Linked DNA regions of Notamacropus eugenii. The main gene of each other region encodes a partner of the protein of the gene in region 2 in a complex. Links are inferred from orthologs where the notes say so. Each region holds a gene or a part of one and is shown on either strand. Other genes may lie near its edges.

The links. The genes of interacting proteins can lie anywhere in the genome.
Region 1: HBS1L (region 2) and PELO share a complex: the UniProt entries of both Homo sapiens proteins name them as parts of the pelota-HBS1L complex. The link is inferred for Notamacropus eugenii from reciprocal best matches to the Homo sapiens genes HBS1L and PELO.

Annotation. Positions count from the first base shown.
Region 1 is NC_092875.1:410,126,829-410,137,347, reverse strand, and holds PELO (protein pelota homolog), read left to right. Parts: upstream 1-5,505; 5' UTR 5,506-5,835; coding exon 5,836-6,561; intron 6,562-7,049; coding exon 7,050-7,481; 3' UTR 7,482-10,079; downstream 10,080-10,519. UniProt on the Homo sapiens protein: Component of the Pelota-HBS1L complex, a complex that recognizes stalled ribosomes and triggers the No-Go Decay (NGD) pathway.
Region 2 is NC_092873.1:221,008,941-221,019,755, forward strand, and holds the start of HBS1L (HBS1-like protein), read right to left. Parts: upstream 4,718-10,815; 5' UTR 4,622-4,717; coding exon 4,579-4,621; intron 1,325-4,578; coding exon 1,259-1,324; intron 1-1,258. UniProt on the Homo sapiens protein: GTPase component of the Pelota-HBS1L complex, a complex that recognizes stalled ribosomes and triggers the No-Go Decay (NGD) pathway.

The DNA.
Region 1 (10,519 bases), on a different chromosome or scaffold from region 2:
TCCTATAGGAATGCTGATGATTTATGTGGGTTTACTTTATATTCTGCTACCTGGCTGAAATTATTATTTCAATTAACCTTTTAATTGAATCTTTAGGATTTTCCAAGCATAACATCATATCATCTGAATAAAGAAATAATTTTATTACCTCATTCCATATTCTGATTCCTTCTATTTCTTTTTCTTCTCTTATTTTGTTATTGTAGGATTTCCAATACAATATTGAATAATATTGGTGACAGTGGGCATCTATTTTCATGCCTGATCTTGCTGGGAAGGCTTCTAGCTTAGCCCTATCACAAATAATGCTTGCTACTGGTTTTAGGTAAATGCTTCATATCAATTTAAGGAAAAGTTCATTTATGCCTATACTTTCAAGTATTTTTAATAGACATTAGTGTTGTATATTATCAAATGTTTTTTCTGCATCTATTGATATTATCATATGATTCTTGTTATTTTTATTAGTGATATAATCAATTATGCTAATAGTTTTCCTTATGTTAAACCATCCCTGCATTCCTGGGATGAATTCTGCATCATCATAATGTATAATCTTTGTAATATATTGTTGTAATCTTTTAGATGGTATTTTACTTATGATTACATATGATCCATATGCATTAATGAAACTGGTCTATAATTTTCTTTCTCTGTTTTTACTTTTCCTGGTTTAGGTATCAATAGCATATTTATTTCATAAATAGGGTTTGGTAGGATCCCTTCTTTGTCTATTATCAGAAGAGCTTTCAATGTCAACCAGGGCTTTTTATAGTTGATCTTAGAGGTAATAAGGAGACACAGGAGTTTACTGAGAAGGGGACTCGTGTTCAGATCTGTGCTTTAGAAAATCCCTTCAGCTACTATTCAAGGGTGGATTAGAATTTTAGAATCAGAAGATCAAATAGGAGGCTATTGCAACAGTGAAGGTAAGAGTGATGAGGACCTGAGGTCACTGAGTGAGTAAAAAGGAGTCTTACATGAGAAAGGTGGAGATTTAAAAAAGAAAAAATATTTAACAACAGATGGAATATATGGTTGTGAAAGAATGAGGAGTTACTGCTGAAACAGGTTGAGAACCTGACTAGAACAAGAGCAGTGGGTAGAAACAGTAAAACTGGGAGGACAATGAATTTGGATGTGTTGTGTATGGGTTGCCTATCAAGAATCAGCTTGATGTTTGTTGTGGCAATACAGCTATCTCCCTAACCATTAACTCACTGTAATACTGAGACCTGTGGGATGGGATGAGGGGACATGGAAGAACCATGTGACTGCATTTCGTGTTGTATTACCTTGGGATTGAGTCAGGGAAAAAGAGTTCTTTTAGGAAGGGGGTGGAGACGGAGTAGATATGGAACGCATAAAGACTCCCTTGTTCAAAAATGTGTCTATCCTTTTGTTATGGGGGACTGGCATGTGCAAAGTATTGGGGACTGTATCTCCTCAAATGGGAGGGCTAGGGAGGCTGACTGTGGGAAAGTCACAGTGACATGTAATAGAAATGCCTCAAAGAGATCTTGGCATTGATTTAGACATTCTATAACTGGTTCGGCTAAATTTCTCTATCAGTGAAAAGAATATTATACAAATGTTCCAGGCTTGAGACCTGGGTTACAGCTAGTTGGTTGTTGTTCAGTCATGTCTGACTCTCGTGACCCCATTTGGGGTTTTCTTGACAAGGCTACTGGAGTAATTTGCCATTTTCCTTCTTCAGCTCATTTTACAGATGAGGAATTGAGGTCAGCATTATTAAGTGACTTGCCCAGGGTCACACAGCTAGGAAGTGTCTGAGGCCAAATTTACACTCAGGAAGATGAGTCTTTTTGACTCCAGGCCCAGCACTCTATCCACTATGCCACCCCGCTGCTCTGGGTTACAACATATTTACCAATTAGAAACTTTTTGGGGGAGAGGGGCAGGGAGAGAAATCAAATCAAAGCTAGAAAATATTGTTTCACACCTTAGAAGGAATTACTTCAATCAGACATCAAGACTAACACCTGGACCAGATTTCTTAACCTTTTTTTTGAGTCATGAACCCTTCTGACAACCTGGTAAAACCTATGAACCTCTCCTCAGAATAATGTTTTTAAACTCATTAAATAAAACATATAGGATTAGAAAGGAAACCAATTATACATGTACCACAGGCAGCCCTGACCCCTACCACCTGAAGGCCAAGGGTGTTAGATTTTACCATTTCACCCCTTTCTTAGGGTTCTCTGGTATCCTTAAGAGGACTGAGGGGTGTGTGCCATTGGCTCCAGCTCCAACTAATGGTATTCCCCCATATATAGGGGGTGTGATTCCCTGCATCCTAGTTCCTATTAGCCAGTAACAGCCATAGTAGCTTTTACACAGAAATCTTTACTTCAAAAGGTAGAATCACAAACATACAAATTTACTCCCCCATCATGTGGGAGGCATAATCCTCATCCTCTTTGGACCACCCCAGTGCCTGGAGAGGGGAAAGGAATTAGATTCATAGTTTAGCTCAGTTCCAAGACCAAAATCCCTCTGGGGCTGGAGTCCCCATGTACCCTGGCTTCTCTGGCCTTCCAAGCCAGGCTGGCTGGATGCACCACCCTGTCTGCAATCCTGGCCTCAATTTTGCCAGGGTTCAAACTCCTGGGGGAGGGGGATCATTTATGCAGCTAAGAACAAACAACATAGAACAAAAACACGCGCTCCCAGGTCCATTTCTCAGGGCGGACAGTCCTTTCCCTCTCACCAGTTCAGTTACAGGCATCCCCACCATGGGTAAACTGGGTAGATGTATAGTAGCAGAAAGAGATCAACCTGCTCAGTCTCACCGATTTTAAAGATGCAGGTAGCCAGTCAAAGGATACTAAACCCACTCTTGTGGTAGGGGAACCACTGGGCTCCATAGGCAAACTGGGAATGCTCAAAAGGCCCCTCAAGTAGACCTCTATGTTAGACAAACTGGGCATGACCCAACACACTCAGGTTATAGACAAATATAATTATCAAAATGTTTTTGTAAAAACAAATTTATAGACTCGAGGTTAAGAACCTCTTAATTTAGATGAATGTTGCTGGGCATTTACAGCAAGACTTTTGAATGCGAAAAGGTACAGAACAAGAAGCATTCTTGGTGAGATAAGGGAATTTGGATGGCCAAAGTCACTGTTGCTAACCTTAACTCAGAGACTACTGTACAATAAGCAATCTTCTAATGAAACCAGGTAGTATGAGCAGTTGATCTGGATCTTGGTTGAAAACTTTTTGCCTGACTTATCCAATTGTTCCCCCATTTTTTTTTCTTGATTTTGGCCAGTAACGTTTGGCCCCACAGTACTGTGAAGAGAACTGTTTCCAAATCCAGCATTTTACACAGGCTACTGATCTGCAGAAAGTGCAGATTGGTAGTTTTGGATTCTGCAATTCCCAGGACACTGGGTCAAGTAACTCCAAGGCTTTCTAAATGGTAAATTCCACAAATGCTTTCTGCCTCTGGAATCAGTGCTTTTTAACTATTAGTTAAAACTAGGTCATGTGAGGACAGTTGGAAAGATCAGAAAGTCAATCTAGTTGGTTAGGCATGCAAAGCTGTAATGCCATTTATTTTGGAAACCTGACACACAAATCCCACATGTATACCCAGCTCAAAGTGGCAATCTGTTGAGTATGCACATGGGAGCTGAGGGAAATGGTGGGCTGCAGTGATCTGTCAGGATTAATGTCACCCACCCTCCTGAAAGCGATGACGTTTGTAGATGGTCCTTAAGAGCTCTGGATGTGGAGCCAAAGGGTCTCACTTTGAATCCTTCCATTTATTCCCTCTTAGACCTTGGGCAAGTCACTTAACCTCACTGGACCCAATTCCTCATTTCTAAAAAGAAGAAAGAAAGAGAGAAAGGATGAACTCTGTAGTTCAGTTACAGGCATCCCCACCATGGGTAAACTGGGTAAGATGTATAGTAAAAGAAAGAGATCAACCTGCTCAGTCTCACCAATTTTAAAGATGCAGGTAGACAATCAAAGGATACTAAACCTACCCTTGTGGTAAGGGAACCACTGGGCTCCATAGGCAAACCGGGCATGCTCAAAAGACCCCTCAAGTAGACCTCTATGTTAGACAAACTGGGCATGACCCAACACACTCAGGTTATAGACAAATATAATTATCAAAATATTTTTGTAAAAACAAATATATAGACTCCAGCTTAAGAACCCCTGAATTTAGATGAATGACTAAAATCATTGACCCTTTAAACCAGAGATTGCTTTTCTTTTTTGTGTATATCATGGATTATGCTGCTAAAAATTAGCACCCAGCTATCTGATACAATAATATCCACAATAAACTTTAAAGCTTAACCTGCATTATTAGCATTTTAACATCAGTTAATTTAACACTGACATTTTAATATTCCATCACTCTTCAGTCTAGGCAATCAACCAAACAATAAATCATGCCCTGAATTGTAGTTTGCCAATTTGAGGTGTAAATGCTCACTCTGAAAATTTAACAGTGTACTAACTGCTTCCAGCAAGCCCATGCATGCACCCCCTTTGCAGTCTGGTGGAGTCTGGGGACTCTTCTCAGAATGTTTTTAAATGCGTAAAAATAGAAGTCATAGGACTACAAAGGAAATCAATCATTAATCAGCAAACATTTATTGAGCACCTACTGTGTGCCAGGTGCTGTGCTAACTGCTGGGGATACACAATAGTAACTAACATTGAACGTAGCACATAGTAAGCACTAGGCATGACACTAAGAGATTTACAATTGTCATCTCCTTTGATCCGCACAACAGTCCTGGAGGTGTGGGGGGGTGTATGTATGCACATGCATACGTGCGTATGTATACATATGCGCACATGTTTTACATAAAATATTATATATTTTCCACTTACAGATGAGAAAACTGAAGGAGAGGTTGTTAGGTGACTGGGCTGGGCTGGCACAGCTAGTAGATGTCTCAGGCCACATTTGAACTCGGGGATCTTCCAGGTCCCAAGCTCTATCCACCTCCCCAACTGACTTAAAAAAAAATTACACTGAACTACAGGTATACAAAGATTTTCAGACATATTCACAGATCCCTTTCTGTCTTTGATCCAATAGACTATTAGCCCTCGGTGTTCAGGGCTTGTTTCAGTTTTATGTGTTCTCTTCGGGGCTGGGTACACAGAAGCGTTTAATAAATGCGTGCTGAATGTTGAATGAATGACGCCCTCCCAGTTCCAAGGCTTGGGGCTCCATGAGAGCCGTAGTAGCAGGGCTGCGCGCAGAGGCTTCCGAGACGTCCCGGTGCCCCTCCTGACCACGCCGGCCACGCCCCTCCAGGCCACGCCCTCTCGGCCACGCCCCCTCCCGGCCACGCCCCTCCCGAGGAGCCCAGGCAGCGGCGGCGCCGCGGGACCAGTGCTAGCGGACCCGTTCACTCTTCTCTCAGACACAGCCAGCTCCGGCGAGCGGAGGCTTAGTGCTCAGTGAGCCTGCGCACGCCGCATGCGCCGTCCACCGCTTCCGTAGCTTTACGTACGCCAGTAGAGACGTGGCTGGGGAGGCGGTCTCTTGCGCAGGCGCACTAAACAGCCCCCGTTGAGTCCGCGCTGCCGGCCGGTCTGAGAAGGGGGCGGCGGGGCTAAGAGGCTCCGGGTCTTGACCGCGGCGCCCTCCCACCTGGGCGGCGGGGTCCTGAGCGCCGCGTGCGGGAGAAGGAAGGTTCTCTGGGGCGCTCTTCTCCTCCTTCCGCGAGGCGAATACCCGCCCGGCGGGGCGGCGGCCGCCAGAGCCAGGCCGGAGGCGGCAGGGCCCGGCCCCTTCCCCCCTCCCTCCGGCCGCCCCCCGCCGCCAGCATGAAGCTGGTGAGGAAGGATATCGAGAAGGACAACGCGGGCCAGGTGACCCTGGTGCCCGAGGAGCCCGAGGACATGTGGCACACGTACAACCTGTTGCAGGTGGGCGACAGCCTGCGCGCCTCCACCATCCGCAAGGTGCAGACCGAGTCCTCCACGGGCAGCGTGGGCAGCAACCGCGTGCGCACCACGCTCACCCTGTGCGTGGAGACCATCGACTTCGACTCGCAGGCGTGCCAGCTGCGGGTCAAGGGCACCAACATCCAGGAGAACGAGTACGTCAAGATGGGCGCCTACCACACCATCGAGCTGGAGCCCAACCGCCAGTTCACGCTGGCCAAGAAGCAGTGGGACAGCGTGGTGCTGGAGCGCATCGAGCAGGCCTGCGACCCGGCGTGGAGCGCCGACGTGGCCGCCGTGGTCATGCAGGAGGGCCTGGCCCACGTCTGCCTCGTCACGCCCAGCATGACCCTCACCCGCGCCAAGGTGGAGGTGAACATCCCCCGCAAGCGCCGGGGCAACTGCTCGCAGCACGACCGCGCCCTGGAGCGCTTCTACGAGCAGGTGGTGCAGGCCATCCAGCGCCACGTCCACTTCGACGTGGTCAAGTGCGTCCTGGTGGCCAGCCCCGGCTTCGTGCGGGAGCAGTTCTGCGACTACATGTTCCAGCAGGCCGTGAAGACGGACAACAAGCTGCTGCTGGAAAACCGCTCCAAATTCCTTCAGGTACAGTAACCCGCCTAGCTGAAGGGCTGACCCAGATTAGAGCTTAGGGGTTGGCATCAATGTTAATACGTTGTGTAGGAGGGAGGACGTTTAGAGGGATAGGGAAATGACCTTTTTCTTAATCATGTCCAGTCATCCTAAAATGTAAGCCTGGCACTAAGAGAAAATGAATGTCCCATTTTTTCCACATTCATGTTTTCTTACCCTTTTAGGGGAAAAATGATTTAGGTATGCTTAACAATAGGCAGTTTGATGCTAAGAGACTTAAATGATCAACCTGTGTTATGAAGTCCTTATGAAGCATCTCTACATAAGTAAATATACATAACTTTAATGTGTAAAATACATAAGTTTAATGCCTTGCATGTTTTGACATTTTGGTTAGGGTTGATGTGTTTAACGTTAATTGAACAAGTATGAGTTAACTTTTAAAAGGAAGAATATGTGCTCTAAAATATTTCATCCAACCTCTGTAATTGTGATTCCAGGTACATGCCTCTTCTGGGCACAAATACTCGTTGAAAGAGGCCCTTTGTGATCCTACTGTGGCCAGCCGCCTCTCAGACACCAAGGCTGCTGGTGAAGTCAAAGCCTTAGATGACTTCTACAAGATGTTGCAACATGAACCTGACCGAGCTTTCTACGGACTTAAGCAGGTGGAGAAGGCCAATGAGGCCTTGGCAATTGACACACTGCTCATCAGTGACGAGCTCTTCAGACACCAGGATGTAGCCACCCGAAGCAGATATGTGAAATTGGTGGACAGCGTCAGAGAGAATGCAGGCACAGTTCGGATATTTTCTAGTCTTCATGTATCTGGGGAGCAGCTCAGCCAGTTGACTGGAGTTGCTGCCATTCTACGCTTCCCTGTCCCTGATCTCTCTGACCAGGAGTCTGGTTCAAGTTCTGAAGAGGATTGATGATGGGCACCTCTAAAAAGACACTATGTACCACCCAACTCCTTCACCTACATAAACTAATATGTAAAACAAATATTCTCAAATCTAGTACGAAAGCTGCTAGGGAGGTTCAGTTTCATTTACGTGAGTGGGTTTTTCTTGTCAGGCTAGTCTCTTTGTATTGGAAGACCAATACAACTAGAAAATAAATTAAGATAAAAGTAATGTCTAATTTTATCCTTATTCACATTGACAATTACTTTTAGGAAAAAAATGGTTTAGAAATACTAATAATATGCAATTGATACTTAGGATAAAAGTTTTTACATCAGCTGCATTCACTGTGTACTGTACTGGGGTTAAGCTACTGTTTCTATCTCTTCTTCATATTTTCAGAGTGCATTGCAGGAATTTTACTTAGTCCTCACAAATAACTAAACTGACAGTGTTTTTTGGAAGATGGATAGAAAATTCACCAAAGAAAACCTAAAAACTGACACTATTGTTTAAGGAAATTACAGGAATTGAATGAAATCATTTCTAACATGCCAAGAAGCCATTGTGCTTTATCCTTAAAAGTTAACTTTATGCTATTTGGTGCACTACTTAACCTACTATTCATAGAGTTTTAGAGCAGGAAGGAACCTTTGTAAATGTAACACTTTTATTTTAGAAATGATAAACTCAGGTCCAGAGAAGTTAAAGTGACTTTCTTGAGGCCAAGCAGGTAATTATTAGCAAAGATCATAGTGGAATCCAATTTTGACTTCATGTGCAGTGGTCTTTCTTTTTACTTATTTTGATTTGTCAAATTTATTAATAGTTGTAGTATTAGAATTTCAAGTTGACTAACTGGAAGCTTTAAAGCAGTATTTTCTAGATTCTAAACAGTTTTCATTTAGTCATGCAATTGCATCATGATTGAATAGAGCCTGTATGTGGAAAAATAATAAGATATGTTTGACTTTTTTATAATTGAAAAGGGTTGCTAGGTAATTCTCTAGTTCACTAAAATGTCAGTGAATGATCTATCCCTGTTTGAAGTGGTAGATTATATTTTGTTTATGGTCTGTGGGTATCAAGTGGAAAGTTTTAGACATTCATTAACTCCTGATCAGTCCAAAATGATATGATTTATTTCTTGTTCTGACAGTTGACATATGTAAATGAAATCTACTGATAACACGATCAATTTTAGTATTTTTCAGGGGCCTTCTGAAAACTATCTTCACAAAGTTGCTAACCCTGAGTAAAAATAGATCTTCTAAATCACACACACACACGCTTTAAATAAGCTTATATTGTCCTTGACAAAATGAATGGCATTAAGCTACTATAACAGATATGATGGTACTTTAACTTAACCTCTAGAACACTTCATTTTCAAATGCAGCAAAGCAATAGGATGATACCTCTATCGTTAGCTTATGCTAACCGAATATGGCAGATCATTAATATGTAGAGATTTTGATAGTTTGACATTGTGCATATATTAATTACTGTTTCAGTTTTGTTGATCTTAATTTGAACTTTGTTTGCAGTGAAAATAACTGGATTATTCATGTGAAAGTTGTACTAAAAAATATCCAATAATTTTGACCATTGCATCACACTTCCCAGGAAGGCATGTCCTATAGTCCAGAAAATTCTGCCTTAAGCAGATTTTTTTCTGTTGTCAAATGACCAATAATGTGCTCACATGTAGGCCATGCTTTAAACAAAATTAAGTCTTTTAAAGATACCCATAACAGTATTAAGATAATTTGCATCATTGTAATTTTGAGGGGCCATCTGGAAGTCAGGAAGGCTTGGATTTAAGTACAGTTTCTGACATGGTGTTCTCTTGGGCCTGTCATTTAATTTCAGGCAACTCTTTCAGACTAAATTGCTAAGTAGTTTCTGGTCTACTTTGATTTTGTCCAGGGAATTTACTCATTAAGAATTCTCTGTATCAGTGAAATCACAGGCAGTACTACCCCACCCCCATCAAAAAAGCATTTAAATCAGTAAGGTCTGCTTGTGTTCAGATTTTAATTCTTTTCTCTCTATAGTAATCAAATACATACCTGAAAAAGTTCTCTAATATTTAATAACTTGTATGCCAGATAATGAAATTAGCGTAAAGATTTTTATTTCCAAATCTGTTTAAAAATAGGAGTGTTTTGGGAGTTAGTTTTCTTTTAAATCTGAGCAAAGCAGACCATTGAATGTTTTATGTGAAGAGCATCTGGAATTTGCAGGATTCAGAAAAGGAGAGGATTCCTAAGAGAGATTCTGAGAGTAGGTTAGTGGAAGATCTCTTTAGGGTCCTCAGATTTAAATATGCCATTGATTAAGAATAAAACTTTTCAAGTAATGTAATGGTTCCTTTTATGCTCTTAAAATTCTTGCTGCCTTTAATAACTTAAAAACGTGCCATAGCTTATACCTTTCAGAAATATATTGGTGTACAAATATTTATCATTTTTCAGTTGGAACAGTTTGAAACTTGTTTTGGTTTGCCTTATCTTGAATATCTGAAATGCAATGGTGCTTTACTTCAGTATGCTCAACTTGAAAAAAAAGAAAAAGACAAGTTTAGGAAAGTTCTTGAAATAAAAATATTGTAAGCTCTGAAAATGGAGTAGTTTCTCCTCCTTTGTTCAGTCATTTCTGACTTTTTTGTAACCTTGTGGGCCATGCTGTCCGTGGAGTTTTCTTGGCAAAGTTTGAAATGGTCTACCATTTCCTTCTCCAGTGGATTATGGTAAACAGTAGTTAAATGACTTGTCCAGGGTCGCACAGCTCATATGTATCTGAGGTTATATTTGAACTCAGGCCTTCCTAACTCCAGTCCCAGCACTTATCCACTGAGCCAACTAGCTGCCTTCTTCCATGCTAAGTAGTCTTTAAGGATCTTTTTCTGTAAAATTATCCTTCATCTGTACCCTTTGATATCATTAGCTACAATTGACTCCCCTCTCGAGACAGCTTACTGTTTATTTTTTAATCATTCAGAAATCTTGTTGGGAGAATTTTTTTTTTCTGGACAATGAAAAAAGTTCTAATTACATCTAAAT
Region 2 (10,815 bases):
CAAAATAAACATTAATGTCAGTTACACTCTGTTGCAGTACTATTCGTAAAATGTTATACTTCAGAGATCCATATACAAACACCAGTCTCCCCTCCCCCATCTCTAATTTATACAGTCTTAAATGACTTGCATATGACTTAGGGAAATGACTTATCAATGTCAGAATTTCAGTTCAATTCTTCTTTCCTGACTCCAAGTCTAGGACTCTCTATTCACTAAACTACGCTCTTCAGGTACATTACGGACTAAATAAAGTTTGTGGGACAGCTCTGGAATCTAATCACCATTTTCATAACACCATTTCTCTGCAGAAATGCATTCTAAAGTACAACCTACATGCAAATTTTTGGAATTGGCAGGCTACATTAACAGGTTTATAAAATGCCTCAATATTAGCAATATACAAAAGATTTAACGTAGAACTCTGCTCCAGCCTTTGTCCTGTCCCTTAAAGAAGAAAATTAAGACCAAAGAACTGCTTTTGATGTAAGATAACTACAACTAAAGAAAAGGATTACAGTATTGCCTCAAGCTTTACTTATAAGACCACCCACAAAACAACTCTGAAATGAAAAATCAGTCCTCTAATATTTGGGAGTATATACATAATACGCATATTATATATATATAAATTATCCAATAACTACTAACAGAGAATGAAAAGTAAAAAGCTTTGCCAAAAACACATGTGAAGTTCCGTAATATTACTCAACATATTGCCATTCCAGCAGAAGCAAATTAGAATGAGTCTCATAAGACTTAAAACTAGAAGAAACCTGATAAATCATGTTGCAAATCTGAAGTGGCAGAGGCAGGATTCTCACACGCCGTTAACATGACTACAGAACCAATATTCATTTCACTAACATAGCATTCCACACCACCAAAGAAAAGTATTTCTCATCTCCAAAACATATAAGAAAAACCATACACATCATTTTTCTACAAGTTGTTTAAAATCTTAAAAGGCAGAAATAAAATCATATGGTTTTATTTATAGGTAAAACTATTTAACCCATGTGTTCAAATGCATAATTAAGTATTTTTCTCCCAATTCAATCCAACTGTATGTATTAAGTACCTCTTACGTATGGGGAACTGTTGCTAGATTCCAAGACTACAAAGACAAAATGAAAAACAGTCCTCGACTTCAAAGAGCTTATACAATTCGGCTTTCTTTTGATACCTTCACGGTAGAAAAAAAGTACTTTTATCTACCGTTTTTTCAAAACCCCATATCAAGACTCTGAATACGTACCTGTTGATGGTGAAATACAATAATCATCCTCTACAGACTGGCCATAGAGATCATCATCTTCAAAATCTAAATGAAATATACAACAAGTTAACACAAATATCAAGTGATCTTATTCTAATCAATGATGCTTTCAACATTAAAATAAACACATGTCTATGTTAAAAGGACCCTGGCATATTTTATTCTAACAACTATTTCAAAGACTGAAACTATCTTTAAAGACTGGAGTACCTTTTCAATGGGATCTGCTTTCTACAGTTCTTGGTACAAAAAGTATGAGTATTTTGGAAACATATAGGACTTTTCTATCTTTGACCTCCTACCCATACATATCCAGTAATGGAATCAAAAGGTTGAACAGTTCCAGTTTATTTCACTCAGCTGTCAGCATATACCTATGTCACCCTCCCCCCCATTTCATAAACTCCAGTGACTCCATGTTATTTATATGATCCAAATATAAATATCAACAGTCTCAGATATGCAGACGATACCCTTCCGATGGCAGAAAGTGAAGCTGAAATTAAGAATCCTCCTGAGGAAGGTGAAAGAAGAGACCATAAAAGTTGGTTTTAAATTTAACAACAAAAAACTAAGATCTTGACAACTGGTCCCATCACTTCCTGGCAAAGACGGAGAAAAACTGTGGCACATTTTATATTCTTGGGTTCATTTTATATTCTTGGGTTCATTTTATATTCTTGGGTTCAAAGATCACTGCAGAAAGCAGCAGCAGCCATGAAATTAAAAGATGCTTGCTTCTTGGAAGGAAAGCTATGGCAAATCTGAACAGCATACTAAAAAGCAGAGATATTACCTTGCCAACAATGGTACATATAGTCAAAGCTATGGTTCTTCCAGTAGCAACATGGCTGTAAGAGCTACAGCTTTTGAACTGTGGATCTAGAAAAGATTTTTAGAGTCCCTTGGACAGCAAAGAGATCAAATCATTCAGTACTTTAAGAAATTAATTCAGGCTATGCACTGGAATGTGAAATACTAAAGCTGAAGTTTAAATACTTTGGTCACATAATGGGAAGATAGGAATCATTGGAAAAGACCCTGAAGTTTGGAAAGACTGAAGGCAAAAGGAAAAGGGGACAGCAGATGATGAGATGGCGAGACAGTGTCATGGAAACAATGAAAGTAGTTAACTTAGCAGCACTTAAGTACTAAGTAGAGCTTAGTAGTAAACTAAGGACTAGGTATGGATGTCTACCTTAGAACAATTTAGGGTCTTAATAATCCACGAATCCCAAAAAGGTCCATGAAATGAGCAAGAATTCAGAAAGTGGGATCCAAGAATAAAAAGGGGGTAACTGGTATATATTTCATAAATTTTTATCTTTAAAAGTAAATACCACTAACTCATAAAAATGAGTTAAGTATCAATCAGAAAGGAATCTGATTTTCAGACTGAAAAATTCTCAGAAGAAGAAGAAGAAAAACAGGGGGAAAACCACCTCTGGGCATAGAGAGAACAGAAAACTAAAATTTACCATTTTAAATGAAACCAGCAAGTTTAATTTTAACAAGTAGCTCAGCTAAAACATATCAAGTAATTCATTCATTCTTTAGCAATTTTTTTGAAAAAAAGTAAACAAAAAAACATTTCAAAATAAAATGACTTTCCTTAAAAAAAAAATTCACCATGCTGACTCATGATTTAGGGGGTTTTAGTTATTGTAGAAAACAAATGTCATCACAAACACCTAAGACAAAACAAGATGATCAAAATTGTTCCTGCCACAATTAAAGTGGTTATGTCACAGCTGTTCCAAAGAAAACATGGCAACCTGAACTCAGGAGGGTTAGTAAAATGAGAAAAAATTTAGGTGTCAAGTTCAAAAACAAAATGTATAAATATAGAAATAATTAAGTCCATTCCTATGTTGTTGTGTTTTCAGCAGACCTCCCACTTAATGTGATGCAGTTTACGCAAACATCTGTGATCTACAGCACTCAGATTCAAGCTTTAGCAATATCAGAAGCACAACAAATCATAATGGGTACCTAACAGATTTACAACAAAAACTGTGTAAGTATATGTTGTAGTTGCTCTACGATACCAACATTTAAGGATATGTAATGAATCTCTACCTTCCCTTTTAAAATTCTACTGTGGGTAACTATATTAAAGAAACATTGAGTGCCTACTCTATGCTGAGAACTGTAGCTAGAGAATACAGAAGTGAAAGGAAAGGATCTGCTCTTGTGACATTTAAATTTAATAGAGGAAAAAGTTATATAAATTACCAAATTTGCTAAATTGCTCCCTGAATTGGTTTACATATTTTTAAATAATTAGATCCACTTATTTGACATCCACTGTGTAAGAAAGTACTTTCTGTCATCACACAAATTCATTCCAAGTTCCTCCTTTATACAACAATTTTGGATTTGGTGTACAGGCCCAAATTCACCACAGCCACGACCATGACTTGTAGTACAGTCTTTGTTTAGGATCTCCTCTCGGTCTCATCTATTCTCATATGAATGTCACTGATCATTTCAGTTTCTTTTCTTTGGACTTTTATCATCACCTGTTGATTCTGAACTCCTAATTTAACAAGAAATTCAAATGGAACAAGGCCAGAAGATAATCAATTCGTTCATACAATTCTTCAGTGCGCAAGTAAACGAGAAGACGTATCTTTCGAAGTGTGATACTGAACATTTTGACTATGCATATTTATACCAACACAACAACCCTAAAACAAAAACTTCACTTGGAGAGTATTACAAAAAGCTATCCCCAAACTAGGTGGTGGTTTGTGTTTGGTTTTTTTTTTTAATTGGTGGAGCTCGTTTTTTTTTTAAAGGAGATGGAGAGTGCAAAAAAGACAACTAACGTGGTGGGGAGGGGGCAGGCACTATGGGTGCATGCACACACCTTAAAGAAGTCACCCTGGAAAAGCATCATTAAGTTAATAAACGTTATTAAGCGCCTACTACGTGGCAGGGGCTAAGCACAACCAAACCCTTACCTTGGTCAAAGTCCCACCCGACAGTCTACGCGCGCCCCCCACGTAACAAAAGAAAAAGGAGGACCACGAGTGGCACCCCCCCAGCAGCTGGGTCACCCTCTTTCCTAGCTTTGACAAATCTTTCCCTTATCCAATGTGTTTATGCCAAATCATACCCCACCAGTTTGTCCTGGCCTCCACGCTCCGAAATCATCACTCCGGGGCCCTAGGTGCCCAGAGAATCCGGAGGGAAGCGGCCGAAACAGAGGCCAGGAGCAAAGCAGACGGTCAACCCCGCAGGGCCGGAGGCCGCGGCCCAGGGGGGCAGGGGGAGGGACCGGGCTTTGTACCCACCTTCATCGTAGTTGTAGCCTCGAACGTTCCTGTGCCGCGCCATGGCGACTCCGGCGTCCGCTCCACCACCGCGCCCCGCTGCCTTGGCTCCCTTAGACTACCTTTCTCAGATGCGGTCGCGCCAGCCACTGCGGCCCGAAGAGCGCTCGGACGCCATGTTGATTTCCGGCAAAGCTCTCCGCAAAGGTTCTGCGCACGCGCGATGACGCATTGGACGGCGACGTCTCCTCAAAACGCATGCGCGCTGAGACTCGATGCACTCCACCCACTCCCTACTCCCCCGACGCCATGGCAATGATTGGTAGCAAGCGAGAAGGGGGGGATTACGTACTGGAGCTCCGCCCACACGCCTCGAGCCTGCAAGAGACGGGGCTGCCCCAGCACCGACCTTGTCACGTGGTGCCGCCTGGATTCTTCCACACGTGAGATTTATTTGGTTCCAACTACTTAGTGGGAGGTGACGGGAATAGAGCAAAACTGGCCCGAGTTGTCGTAAGAGTTAATCAGTTGTTTTGAGATATTTGGGATAAATGTGGAGATGGTAGAATAAGTCAGAAGTTGGAAAAAAAGTGAGCTTTTTGGCGTAGACGGATGAGAATGTAAAGTAGACCAGCTCTCTGCAGTGGGGCTGGTACACCCCCTCCCAAACCTCCCCTCCTCCCCTCCCCCCTCCCCCCATTCCCACTCCTCCCTTCCCCCTCCCCTCCAGTGGTTTGCTTGCTGATGGTTAAAGAAGATTGCTACCCTCTCTTGATGGACTAAATATGCAGACGGAACACACAGTTTCGGATCTGGCCACCATGGGAATGTATTTTTCTCGGCCATGCGTCTTTGTTGCAAGAGTTTGGGGTTTCGTTATTTTTTCCCTCCAGTGGGTGGAGAAAATTAATGTTTTATTGAATTTTTAAATTAAAAATAAAGCTTATTGTATTGGGACTTGACCCGAAGTATTCCTCACTTCAAAACTAAGTGGCTATCCACTGTACAGTGTGGCCTTTCCTAATCTTTCTTATCATAAGCTAAGTTTTGCTGTTAGCTATCACTTTTGTACTTTCCTGGAGGAGCTGAGTGGTAGCAGTTTGGACATTTGCCCTACAAGGAAAGCAGAAGAGAGAAAAAAATTATAGCTAAATGGAAGGATGGTTCCTGGTTTATCCTTGCAGAAGCAAAGACTGGAATTGGTTTTATCCAACATCTAAAAAGAAGAATAAACAAGCATCTCTAAGGAAGAATGAATACTTCCATTAGACTTTTACATGGACTCATATTGCATTTATGAGTATTTACCAAAAAGACAACCACGAAAATAATTACAGTTGATGTGCCAACATCTTTTGAAGATGAAAAAGTAGAAAAATTTCATGAAGTACTCACCTACAAATTAGATCGTGTGTTTTAATGCTTTGATTTTAAAGCAAACTATGCATAGGGAAGAATATTGGCAAATATGCTTTCAAGGGTGACATCTAAGAGGCCTGAGATTCATAGAATATGCAGGACTTTCATGCTGTGTATTTTAGAGAAGGGAACTGGGAGATGCTAGACAGAGTAAGTATCAAATCAACTCGCAAAAAAATGAAATGGTATTTTAACAGGCAGGAAATGACCGGTCACTTCTGGAATCATCTCCAAATCAATGTACAATTAGATTGCCTGTTTGTTCAAGCAAAAATAAAAATCAATACAAAATTAGAAAAACAAAAATAAGGAAATGTCTAAAAGAACATTTACCCAAACTATTACTATTTCCTAAGTTTAATTGATATGAATCAGTTGATCACAAAAATAAGAACAAAGAATTCTATAAGCCAGCTCATCCAGAAAATAACTAGCATTTACATAATGTTTTAAGTTTTATAAGGCATTTTACAAATTACTACGATCTCATTTTATCCTCCCAACAATCCTGATATGTGGATGCTGTTATTTTTTCCCATTTTATTGATATAGAAAGAGAGGCGGATAGAACTTAAATAATTTGCCTAGGGTCACACAGCTAATAAGTATCAAAGACTAGATTTGAACTCAGGCCTTCCTGACTCCAAAAACAGCATTCTTTCTACTGCCCCTGTTTCACTGACAAAAGACATAACTTTGTTCCACAACCCTATGATTATTGAGATCAGCAGGGAAGGGTCTGCTCATTGTAACAATTTTCTACTGTTACGGAGTATGTCTAACATTGTCCAAATCAAAGACAAATTAACTATAGAGGGTGAAGTCTTTAGATAGTCCTGTTACAGGGTTGGGGAACCTGTGGCCTCAAGGACACATATGGCCTTCTAGTTCCTTGGGTTGGGCCTTTTGACTGAGTCCAAGTTTTACAGAATAAATCCTTTCATTAAGGGGATTTGTTCTATGAAGTTTGGATTCAGTCAAAGGGCCATACTTGAGGAGCTAGAGGTCCAGTTCCCCACCTCATGACATTATACTAATTGCATCAAGCCCCAGAATATTACAGAGCCTCAAAAATGAGACCCATACACAGGAAAAACCAACCAAATGAAGAATGCCTATTGTCCAAACTATTTATGGAGGAGAATTAACAATCTTGAGGCATGGTTCATCAGTAAATATATATTGGACGTGTCCTGTAAGGGGACAATTATCTTGGACCAGTACTGAGAAAGAATAGAACAGGTTGAATTACTTTGAGTACATTGTGTAGTGATCTTAATTATCCCAAGCTTCTCCTTGAAACATGGGCCCATTTCCTTGATGTAAGTATTCTTCTGGTGGTGTTATATGCCTGAAGTCATGGAGTACCAGAGTCAATTGGGAATTAAAGTTGAAAAGAGCCCAAAAACAATGGAGAGGGATGTATAGTGGGTGTGAATATGCCACTAATGACAAAAGCAATAGGAAAGGATGGAATCAGATGTATGATGGAAAAAGAAGATGTACTAGTCACACATTAAGAGCCATGTGGTAGATAAACCATGAATATTACTTTGGAATCTATCTAGTGTCAAAAGTTCTAACAAAAGACCTCCATCATGTTTGGTGGACCCCTTGCAGAGTTCTTATGGGAGAATATGAACTAGAATTGCATAGGATGAGAAGGCATGGATAAGTTATGATCCACACCAACAGAGGGAGTACCCACATCAGCATCATCACAGATCGAATGAAGTATAGGATATTGCTGAAGGATGTTTTTTGTTTTTTTTTACTAGTGCTGCTAAAAACGCAAAAAGTTAACTATTTAAAATCCATGCTAAAGAAAGGGAGAGACAATGAAAATAGTCCAAACATGGGGTAAGCCTCAAAATATTTGTATTCAGCGTGATCATTATTTGTTTCCCTCAGTTTTATTTTTTTATATTTCTTCATAGACTAATCTCAGAATTTATGTTCCTTGACCATACACAATTAGAAAAAAAAAAGAAGCCAAGAATGGCAGGTCAATATGAAAAATTGTTAAAGACTATACAAAGCAGATAATCTACTTGGAGATGCTTAAGGATGTCATAATGGAATATGTTGAAGTTAGTTACTACATCCACAATACTTCTGTGTTGTGTATATTAATACCTGATTTGTCCTCCTTTATATGGTAGCATATAAAACATTGGTCACAAATAAATAAACAAGTGTTCAAAGGGGAATTTTCCTGTCACATTATCTTTGTTAGAGAAAAATTTCCTTTAATTAGTTAAAAAACTCCTTTAAGTCAATATAATTTTTCTTCTGTAAAATTACGTGAAGAAAAGAAGCACTTTGTTATATATCAGGAATTCATGTGAACTGAAATTAATCCAGCAAGATACCTCTAATTCTTAGTCTTTCCCCAATCTTGTATAATTTTAGACCAATTCTGAATCAAAATTTAGGACTTCTTATTATAGCCAAAAAGATCTTAGCTCCTTACCATTGTAACATTAAGATGATTCTTACTCAATAGAAATTGGTAATTCCATTTCTTCATTTTCATTAAAAAATAAAGCACCAGAATTGCATTTTTCCTGGCTACTCTTAACAGCCCAGACATCATCATAATTACCTAAATCTATTGAATGCTATGAAATCAGAACCCAGAATTTCAGAACTGGAAGAGACTTTTAAAGCCATCTTGCCCAAATTATGCTTGTGAAAAAAATTCTCTCTACAATTGACCTGACAAATGGCCATGCAGCTTTTGCTTGAAGACCTCCAGTAATAAGATTCTTAACCTAGTGTCCATGAGCTTTAAACACACACACACACACACACACACACACACACACACATATTTGGTTTCCTTTTAATCCTATGTATTTTATTGTTATGCACTTAAAAACATTCTGAGAAAGGGGGTCCGTCAGCTTCCCCATGCCACCAAAAAGGTCCATAATGCAGAAAAGATTAAGAATTCCTACCGTAGTAAAAGGGAGCCCACTGCCTTCCAAACAGCATATTGCACTTTGGAGTAACTAATCATTAGGAAGTTTATCTTTCTACAACGTCCTCCCTGGGATTTCCACTTATTGCTCCTGGTTTTACACTCTAGCACCAAGTAAAACAAATGTAGTCCTTCCATGTGAATATCCATCAAATGCTGATGAAATAACTATCATTCCCACCTCAACTCCTTTCACCTCTTCAGACTAAACTTCCTAACTTCCTTCAATCCATCCTAATATTCCATAATGTGTAGGCTCCCTCATCATTTTTGTTGCTCTCTGGACATGCACCAGTTTAGCAATCTTATTCCTGCAGTCCAATTGCCACAAACATGCAGGTAAGCCCAAGGACCCTAGGAACTGGGACACCTCCAGGCTACTGGCACTTCTAACCCAGCCTCAAAGCTCTTCCTAAAGCAGGAAAGCAACCTCTGTCAAGAAAAGATGAGCCATCCTCACCAAATGCTAATCAACTGCCCCTATGGAACAGACAAGTCATTCTAGTTGAAGCAGCAAGGTACCCTGAGGCAGAGAGAGAAGGCAGCTTATTTCAAATGAATCAAACCACCACTACTATCTTGACTACTATCTCCAAATGCTGACCAAACTAACTGGTAATATGGCCCCCTCCTGCACAGATGCTGAAGACCTGGAGAGGAGAATTCTCACCACCAAAAATCTTGGCATTAACAAGTGCTTCAACATCAGAAACACACAGCTTCATCAGTGAGAATAGCACTAAAGAAGATGTATTACCCTCTGCTTCCCCTCAGCACCTTACCATCTTTTAATGATTCTTTACTTGACAGAACCACTGAAAGCATGATCAAACAAATCCATGTTATTCAGGAAAGCTGAAACCAATTTGCAAAAGAGATTCAGTAGATGAATTTTAATTTCTGTGGATTATTTCAGGGCAGACAGATGAAGGTAATATATATTACCTTCATATATAACATTCATCTATAATTCATATATGAATTATAATTTAATTCATATATGAATTATAGTTTGATATAATTCATGAATGAATTATAATTGAATAATTAATTTACAATATATATATGCATATATCTGGAGCTATAAAATTTAAAACACAGATTTTTGTAAGAACTCAGTAGAACTCATGTTATCATGTAATTAGGACTGTGTTATTCAATGGTTGCATATGAAATTCTGGTTAAAAACTGCTATCTCCCTATATTTCCTGATCTCCCTTAAGCCCCAACCAAAGGACTCAAACAGCTTTCTTTTCTGTGAAAATATAACCATGAGGAGATGTTATCTTTAAAATAATGTTTTCTCTATGAAATTTGAACTTAGTGTAGAGTAGGGGGTGGGGAACCTGCAACCTTGAGGCCATATGTGGCCTGCTAGGTCCTCAAGTGTGATCCTTTGAGTCCAAGTTTTACAGAACAAATTCTGGGATTTGTTTTGTAAAACTTGTACTCAGTCAAAAGACCACACCTAAGGACCTAGAAGGTCACATGTGACCTCAAGGCTGCAGGTTCCCCACCCCTGTAAAGCCTTCCTGTGTGCTTCCCTTGAAAAAAACATCACTTTTTCAAGTTTAAGATTGTTAACCTTTCTTCACTGATTATATCTTCTTGATAAGGTGTCAGCTCACCTTGTACTGGCTAATTTGTTGGCTCTTTTTAAAGGTTGTGTAAAGCTGATTGATTAATGATTAATCATCTACCTGAACTATACCCTGGCATTGAGCCTATAAATGGAGAAATGAAGAGAAAGACCTGGAGAAAGTCAGAACTGAGCCATCCAGAAGAAACCAGTGTTAGTTAAATATATTTTTTTTTCTTGGAGGGGAAGCTTGAGTGGTTCTGTGTCTTTTCTAGGA